2 linked regions of the Oreochromis niloticus genome follow. The protein of the gene in region 2 purifies or fractionates together with the protein of the main gene of each other region. This does not show direct contact. Links are inferred from orthologs where the notes say so. Each region holds a gene or a part of one and is shown on either strand. Other genes may lie near its edges.

Evidence for each region. The genes of interacting proteins can lie anywhere in the genome.
Region 1: the proteins of importin subunit alpha-1 (region 2) and phf10 purify together in Homo sapiens (co-immunoprecipitation; 3 studies listed by BioGRID and IntAct, with this or other methods). This does not show direct contact. The link is inferred for Oreochromis niloticus from reciprocal best matches to the Homo sapiens genes KPNA2 and PHF10.

Annotation. Positions count from the first base shown.
Region 1 is NC_031965.2:25,545,905-25,549,657, forward strand, and holds the start of phf10 (PHD finger protein 10), read right to left. Parts: upstream 2,283-3,753; 5' UTR 2,148-2,282; intron 2,025-2,147; 5' UTR 1,882-2,024; coding exon 1,801-1,881; intron 513-1,800; coding exon 403-512; intron 112-402; coding exon 1-111. Other genes in the region: mucin-17-like, read left to right, coding at 2,549-3,753. UniProt on the Homo sapiens protein: Involved in transcription activity regulation by chromatin remodeling. Belongs to the neural progenitors-specific chromatin remodeling complex (npBAF complex) and is required for the proliferation of neural progenitors.
Region 2 is NC_031971.2:28,190,621-28,194,373, forward strand, and holds the start of importin subunit alpha-1, read right to left. Parts: upstream 2,665-3,753; 5' UTR 2,519-2,664; intron 2,508-2,518; exon of another isoform or gene 2,214-2,507; 5' UTR 2,166-2,213; coding exon 2,100-2,165; intron 2,001-2,099; coding exon 1,860-2,000; intron 1,412-1,859; coding exon 1,323-1,411; intron 820-1,322; coding exon 551-819; intron 152-550; coding exon 57-151; intron 1-56.

The DNA of each region.
Region 1 (3,753 bases), on a different chromosome or scaffold from region 2:
GACGTGACTCCCAGATACTCGCTGACCTGCTCCTGCAGCATATAGTACTCTCCTGTATCGTCTGGTGGCCATTTGTATTCCGTCAGGTTTTCTGCTGGGAAATACGTCGGACTGGAAAGGAAGGTTGGAGGGACAACAGAGTTTGATGATTGGAAAAGATTTTGTGAGATTAATCTTAGCTGATATAGACAAGAAAATCGCCACTGGAAGAACTAAATAGACATCAATACTGACAGTTACAGCTTTTAGGGTTTATCATATACAAGTATATTTTGGGGATATAGTAAAATAAAAAAAGAATGTGACATATGGTAACAACAAATTTTCTGTCCTACTTGGTTGTCAAGAATGCTTGAAAATTATGCCAGTGGATGTTTCTTGCTGAATGCTAAACCAGCTTACCCAAGATCTTGACTTGAGGTATCACAGCTTCGAGAGCTGTCCCCTGAGCCCATTCTCCTTCTCTTGGGAGGTTGGCTGCCATCATTGGACACTTCTTCTATGACATCCTCCTACAGAGGAAAAGAAAAATCAGAATTAATTTTTAACATTAATTTTTAACATTAACATTACATAATGTGATGTTTGAAAACTCCAGAGCATGAAGTATATCCACAAAACTTTTAAGAGCTTTCTGATTTTGTATTGGACACTTTCATGACACAGAAATGAATAGAGCCCAAATTAATTTTTGCTTGGTAAACCTGAACCCTAGGACTCATAATTGCAGGATTCATCTTCCTGTTGCTACAGCAAATTTTAACATGTGATTCTGCAAGTGGTGGGCCCATCTGACCCACTTGGTTCCTGACAGAGTTTACATTCTATCATCGCGTAGGACCAATTTGCCTTGAGAGACCCCACTAGAAGCTCCCAGGATTACTTGGTTGACACCATGTTAATGTGACCTCCTAGATGAGTTGTTTCATATTTTAAGATAAGACCCAGGATGTGCTGGAAAGATTACTTCTCTCAGCTGGCCTGGTAACATCTTAGAATCCCACCAAGAAAAGATAGAAGAGGGGGCCGGGGAGAGAGAGGTCTGGGCATCTCTGTTTAGCTTGCTGTATCCACAAATCAGGCCCACTTAATGGCTGAGCAGTGCATACTTTTACTATAAATGAATCACAGAGTGTATTTAAACTGAGTGTGCTTTTCTGTATATGCTCCTCAGGCATGAGATAAAAATCACACACAGTGCACACTACTGCTATTTTAGACATGATAGTATTTCCCGGCCTGATGAAAACTTTTTAAACAACTGCAAAAGTAAACATTTAGAGATTTAGCCGGTTTAATACAGAGGGTTCATTTTGAAACACACTAAAAAATTATTTCAGATAAGGATATTTCCCCTCTTACATAAACACGAAGCTTTATTGAATATTATTGACGGTAGAGTTAATTTATAATGGTGCTAAATACAGACCAAAACAAATGTATGAGTTTACACGCCAAAGCTGGCTGACAGAAGGAGCACAAATTGTCAAATCACTTATAATATTACAACATTAAACGTCGCGTTTTTACTTAGATCATTCAAAAAGTACACAGACCAGATCACTGCAGATACATAAAACGAGGAAATTCAAACCGAACGAGCTAACTAACCAATTACTACACAGCTGAAAACAAAGGAGTGACGCTAATGTGGCTACTGATCGTCAATCATGGACTAAAGTGTCCCATAAATGGCCAGTTAGCTATTAGCTCAGGCTATAGCCGTGCAGAGCCGAGGGAACTGAGCTAACAGAGACTCATGTTTTTATTATTAGTATTATTAATATTGTTATGGCGTACAAATGTCACCTTTATGGATTGTGCTCCGGGGGTAGCGGGGTTGCTATCGCAGGGCGGCCTGACGGGGAGCACAGCAGCCATATTTTTTGCTAAATGATTTCTGCAGCTAGGCTAGCATACTAGCTCGTTACTTCTTCGTTGAGAAGTTTCGCGGCTGTTGGCGAGCGTTGAAACATGGCCGACACCTGCTGGACTGGAGGGCTGGCTTCAGGACAGGACTGGGACTGTGTGGTATAATTTTAATTATTATAGACAGTTAAAGTAAATTCATGGTCGTTACAATCTGCATAAATTAAAACTACGTTTGATGAGAAGTTTGAACAAGTTTTAGTTATATTAACCCTTACATGCTGTTCACGTGTCATGCTTTGACAACGTGGTTTAGGCCAGTTTTGACATAGGCCAAGAATTCCCTCATAAAAAGTACCTGCAACGAATTTTGAACCACACAGTAGCGGTTTTTGATATGGGCGACATGGGCGGTTGCCCAGGCCAACATCATGATGACATCAGGTGCATGTGGCTTTTGTCATAGAATGTTGAAAGATAAGATCAAAGGAACATGCCTCATGACATCAGGTGCATGTGGCTTTGATCATAGAATGTGGAAAGGCATAAATAGAAGCTGATCCTTAATTATACAGACATATTACTTTGCTCTACACAGAACATCTGTACTAAAGCAAAATTTAGCACAAGAGAATAACCACTTAAAAAAACAAACAAAAGAAAAACACCCAACGAAAACATGTCTAAAATGCCTGAAAGTGAGGAAAAAAACAGAATAGAAATGACAGAAAAATCCAGTGCATCTGGTGAAAGCAGTAAAACTTCTACCATTTGCCTGGCTTATGTCACATATGAGATACATCATTTCTCAAATGTGGGAACGCAAGAAGAAACATGCCTGCCAAAAGTCACACCAAACCCTGGCCAAAAAAAAGAAGAAATGAGGAATAAATCTAAAAGAGTAGGACGCAGCTGTCTCTGTGCAGTTCCTACTGGTTCTTTGCCTAAGTTACCACAGAAGCCAGCCTGCCGTACTGGACCAAAGCCAGCCACTGTGACCGTTAAAACTAGGATGGTGCCAGACAGGAAACGGACCCAAAATAACCCAAACCAACAAAACTTGAGCAATCTATCTAAAAGACCAGGAAGCAAATGTCCAGTTGTAATTTCTACTGGTTTGTCGCCCACTTTAGCACGGAGGCCACTCCCTGATATTCCATCAAAGGCACCCACTGTGAGTGCTAACACTAGGAAACATATACCAGTTAATCTCATGGTGCCAGACAGGAAAAGGACCCAAAATCACCCAAACCAACAAAACCTGAGCAATCTATCTAAAAGACCAGGAAGCAAATGTCCAGCTGTAATTCCAACTGGTTTGTCGCCCATGGTAGCACAGAGGCCACTCCCCCGTATTCCATCAAAGGCACCCACTGTGAGTACTAACACTAGGAAAAATATACCAGTTAATCTCATGGTGCCAGACAGGAAAAGGACCCAAAATCACCCAAACCAACAAAACCTGAGCAATCTATCTAAAAGACCAGGAAGCAAATGTCCAGCTGTAATTCCAACTGGTTTGTCGCCCATGGTAGCACAGAGGCCACTCCCCCGTATTCCATCAAAGGCATCCACTGTGAGTACTAACACTAGGAAAAATATACCAGTTAATCTCATGGTGCCAGACAGGAAAAGGACCCAAAATCACCCAAACCAACAAAATTTGAGCAATCTATCTAAAAGACCAGGAAGCAAATGTCCAGGTGTAATTCCTACTGGTTTGTCACCCATGTTAGCACAGAGGCCACTCCCCCGTATTCCATCAAAGGCACCCACTGTGAACGTTAACACTAGGAAAACTTTACCAGTTAAACATCACATGGTGCAAGGCAAGAAAGTAAGCTCACCCAGTAAATCTCTACCCAACTCAGCCAAAGACACCGT
Region 2 (3,753 bases):
AGAGAATTTAATACAAATGTCTGTTAAAGGCACAATAATATTTGATAGAAACTCACAGGAAATACAGACAGGTCAGGGGCTGACAGCAAAGCCAGGAGTGAATGGACACCACCATGTGAGATCACTAGGTCTCTGGAACTGGGCCCATCACCTAAATATAGAGGGAAAAAAACATCTTTAGAGTAATCAGAAAAAAGGCACATAAAGGCAGATACTTTGAAACTACACAAGGTTAGCAAAGATAAAATTTCAGACTTCTAGTTTTTAGCTTAATCACGTTTGGAAAATGGACCCAAAGTGGGACTCAGCAACAACACACTTTTTACTGTATACATACAGAAATGCACTCTAAAGCCTTTAATATCACAGGCTAAATGGAACTCCAGATGAACTAAAGTGGGCACAATTGTCCACAATAATCTACAACGCATCCTGACATCAAAACTATCAGAACATACACCTGGAACAGTGTAGGATGTAGTAATGCACAGAAGTACATCAAATCACATCAAATCCAAAGAAAGAGGTTGAGTTTTGTGAGCCACAGTACCTGCAATGTTACCCAGAGCCCAAATGGCCTGTTCGCTGATGTGCTGATGGGGTGATGTCACCAGGCTGATGAAAGCTGGAATGGCCCCTCCATCTATTACAGCAGAAGTCTGGTCTGAAGTACCTGAGGCAATGTTAGTCAGGGCCCAAGCTGCCTCAAATTGGATGGGGGGGCATTCAGACAACGCCAGAAAACTAACAAACGTTGGGATGAGTCCAGCAGCAATGATGCTGTCAATAGGTGGCTGTTTTTCTCTGGAAAGTAGCCTTCTGTGAATCAGAAAAACAGAGTTGGATCGTTGTTAAAATTGAAGTAACTTAAAAGTAAAGGAAAATCAGTTTTCACACTGCTTAATATCATTGATATAGTAATACCAGTGATATAACTACAGGCAGATAGAGAGTGTTACAGAAGGAGGACAAAGAATAAGAATAGTACAGTGTACAACAAATAAACAAAGTTAAAGTGCCACAGGCCCATAGTGAGCCCCTTTTACTGGGAGAAAGCGCAAACATTTCATATATATACGACACCAATTTAAAAAAAAAAAAAAAAAATGAGGTTAAGTTTAAAAAAGTAAAAAACTGAGTGTGCAACAGAGTGGTGCAAATTGCACTGATAAAAAAAATATGTACACTATAATACACTACAAAAACACAAGTGCCTCGTTACGCAACCTTTTTTTTTCTTCCAGCTTGAGGTTGTCACTGAGCAACTGTCTCACACTTCCACACCCACACACAGTCAATTAACCTAACATTACAAGTATTACCTGGCTGCCTGCGTTGCCTGCAGCTTATAATCTAAATTCTCGCTGTTTACACCTCCGACAATTTCCTCTACAGTCCAGTGATGAGGAGGCTATGAAAACAGAAAGAGAAATGAAAGGGGATTACTGCCAATAAAACCAGAGCAGCTAAAAATAACACATTTAGAGGAACTTGCTTTGAATGTTTTTAGGTCATGGTAACTCAATCAGGGGAACATAGATCAATTATAAATGGACTTTTCATAAATTATCAGAGATACAACTTTTTAAAAAGTCAACAGTCTGTTATCACCAGACAGACACCTGCTCCAAGATTTAGTGACCTTTGGATAATGCTCGCAAATTGAGCAGGCTTAGCTTTTTTTCTTCCTGTGTGCATGCTCTGCAGAGGTGTTCATTTGGAGGCTGTTACATCCTGTTTATAACGAGTTAACTTCTGTAATAATCCAATGTTTCAAACAAGTTAAGCAGCTGTGGTTATATCAGGTGGGTCACCTTTACTCTCACAGCCAAACAAAACACAGAGGAGCTGCTGATTACCCTTACGTTGGGGTCTTTCTCTTGCAGAGGGGACGTTGGTTCGTCCAGAAGGCTGTGGACGTTTCTCCTCTTGAGGATGTGATCATCCTTCTTGGCTCTTCGCAGCTCCACATTGACTTCCGCTCTTCTGCGCCTCAGCTCCTGATCATACCGACAGACAAATAAAAGATATACCACAGCATTCAGGGCATTTGGGATACCGAATTAACTCTGACGTTTACTGCTAGGTTCAGAGCTTACATCAGCATCTTTTCCTTTATTTTTGAACTGGTTGAGTCTCGCTCCGTTGTCCGTGCCCGCTGACATTCCTGACCGTTGAGCAACACAATCGCTTCCACTAAAATCAGGCGCTACCTGTAATAATTTCACAACGACAAAGAATAAGCGGCAGCAGCCACGGTTGCTTTTAGTTTCAGGTGTCAACTAGTAAGCAGGCGCTGAGCTAGCTAACCAGGCGGTTATCTCGAAGCCAAGCCGGTTATCTAACACCATGTGGCCCTTCAGATATAGGGTCTGTCTAATAATCTAAAAACCCGCTGAAGCTCAGAAAACAAAGGTTATACGCTGTATTAGCAATTACAAAAGGTCAATAGCAATTTCAATTAGACAAAAAACAAATAAATGCACTATTAGCCACATAGCATGTACAACGTGCTTACCGTTCAGAATTCTTGTATTCTTTTAATATATGCACAACGTCACGTAACAACGTTCCAATTTTTCTGATTTTTAATTGGCCAGTTGGATTTTTTAGCACCGCCTCATTGGTCACGTTTAAGGAAAAAACCATCAAACAACAAATATGTTGTCAAAGGCAACCGCTGTCAGTATCGCGAGAAAACATGTTAACGTTTCTGTGCGGTAGCTTGTTCTTCTTGTGCTAAATGCTATTGCTGGGTTGTAAATTTTATCATGGCTAATTATTCCTCTTTTAAATAAAAAATACATGCAATTTTTACTATCAACTAAATGAATTATACCACTGACTACATATTCGATTTTCTATTTTCATGACTGAATTTTCCCTACCTGTGCGACGTAATGACCCAGTGGCCTAATGGATAAGGCATCAGCCTCCGGAGCTGGGGATTGTGGGTTCGAGTCCCATCTGGGTCGTATTTAGCTTCCTTTTCAGGGTTCTACTGTGAGCTCTTTCACAGATTCAGAAACAAGAATATTGGAACATTGGAACATCCGGTTGTACATTGTGTGATAATACTAACGAGACATTTTTTTATTTTTATTTTTTACAGTCATTGGGTTGAACATATGACCAGCGATGAATCCTGTAACAAGCTGTTTTCAACATTTTATGGTTTGTGCCTTGTTCATAAACCCATTCAGTTGATCTGCACAGTTATATTTGATATATATAAAATGTTAAAAAAAAAAAAATGAAAAGAACAAAAATCTCTCTACAGGTAACATACAGCAGATCTATGAAAAAGGGCCTCAAAGAACCTGTACCACAATATTATGGCTATCTAAACCGTCTGTAGCACAGCCACAACCATCCTGGAGACAATGAGGAGCAGTAAACCACTGTCTTATTGGCGACAGGGCAACAGAAATAGCAGCAGCTAACTGCTCTGTAAATATATCTGAATAACACAAAGTCATAAATATATATATTCAAAACAGGTTATTTGTTTATATCTTATTGACTACAGCCTATTTAACAATATAAGCCAACATATCAGACATTAAAAAACACATCTGCCATCACTGTTTTCAGATGTCTCTATTTCTGCTCAGCAGAGGGCAGTGAATACACATGGATCAGTCAGATCTAAAAACTGTATTTAAATTAAGTGAGGAAGGATGTTAACTTAGAAAGTCTTATTAGCTCTTGTTCCTAATTAGTACCTATTTAATATAACTAGGCTATTTATTA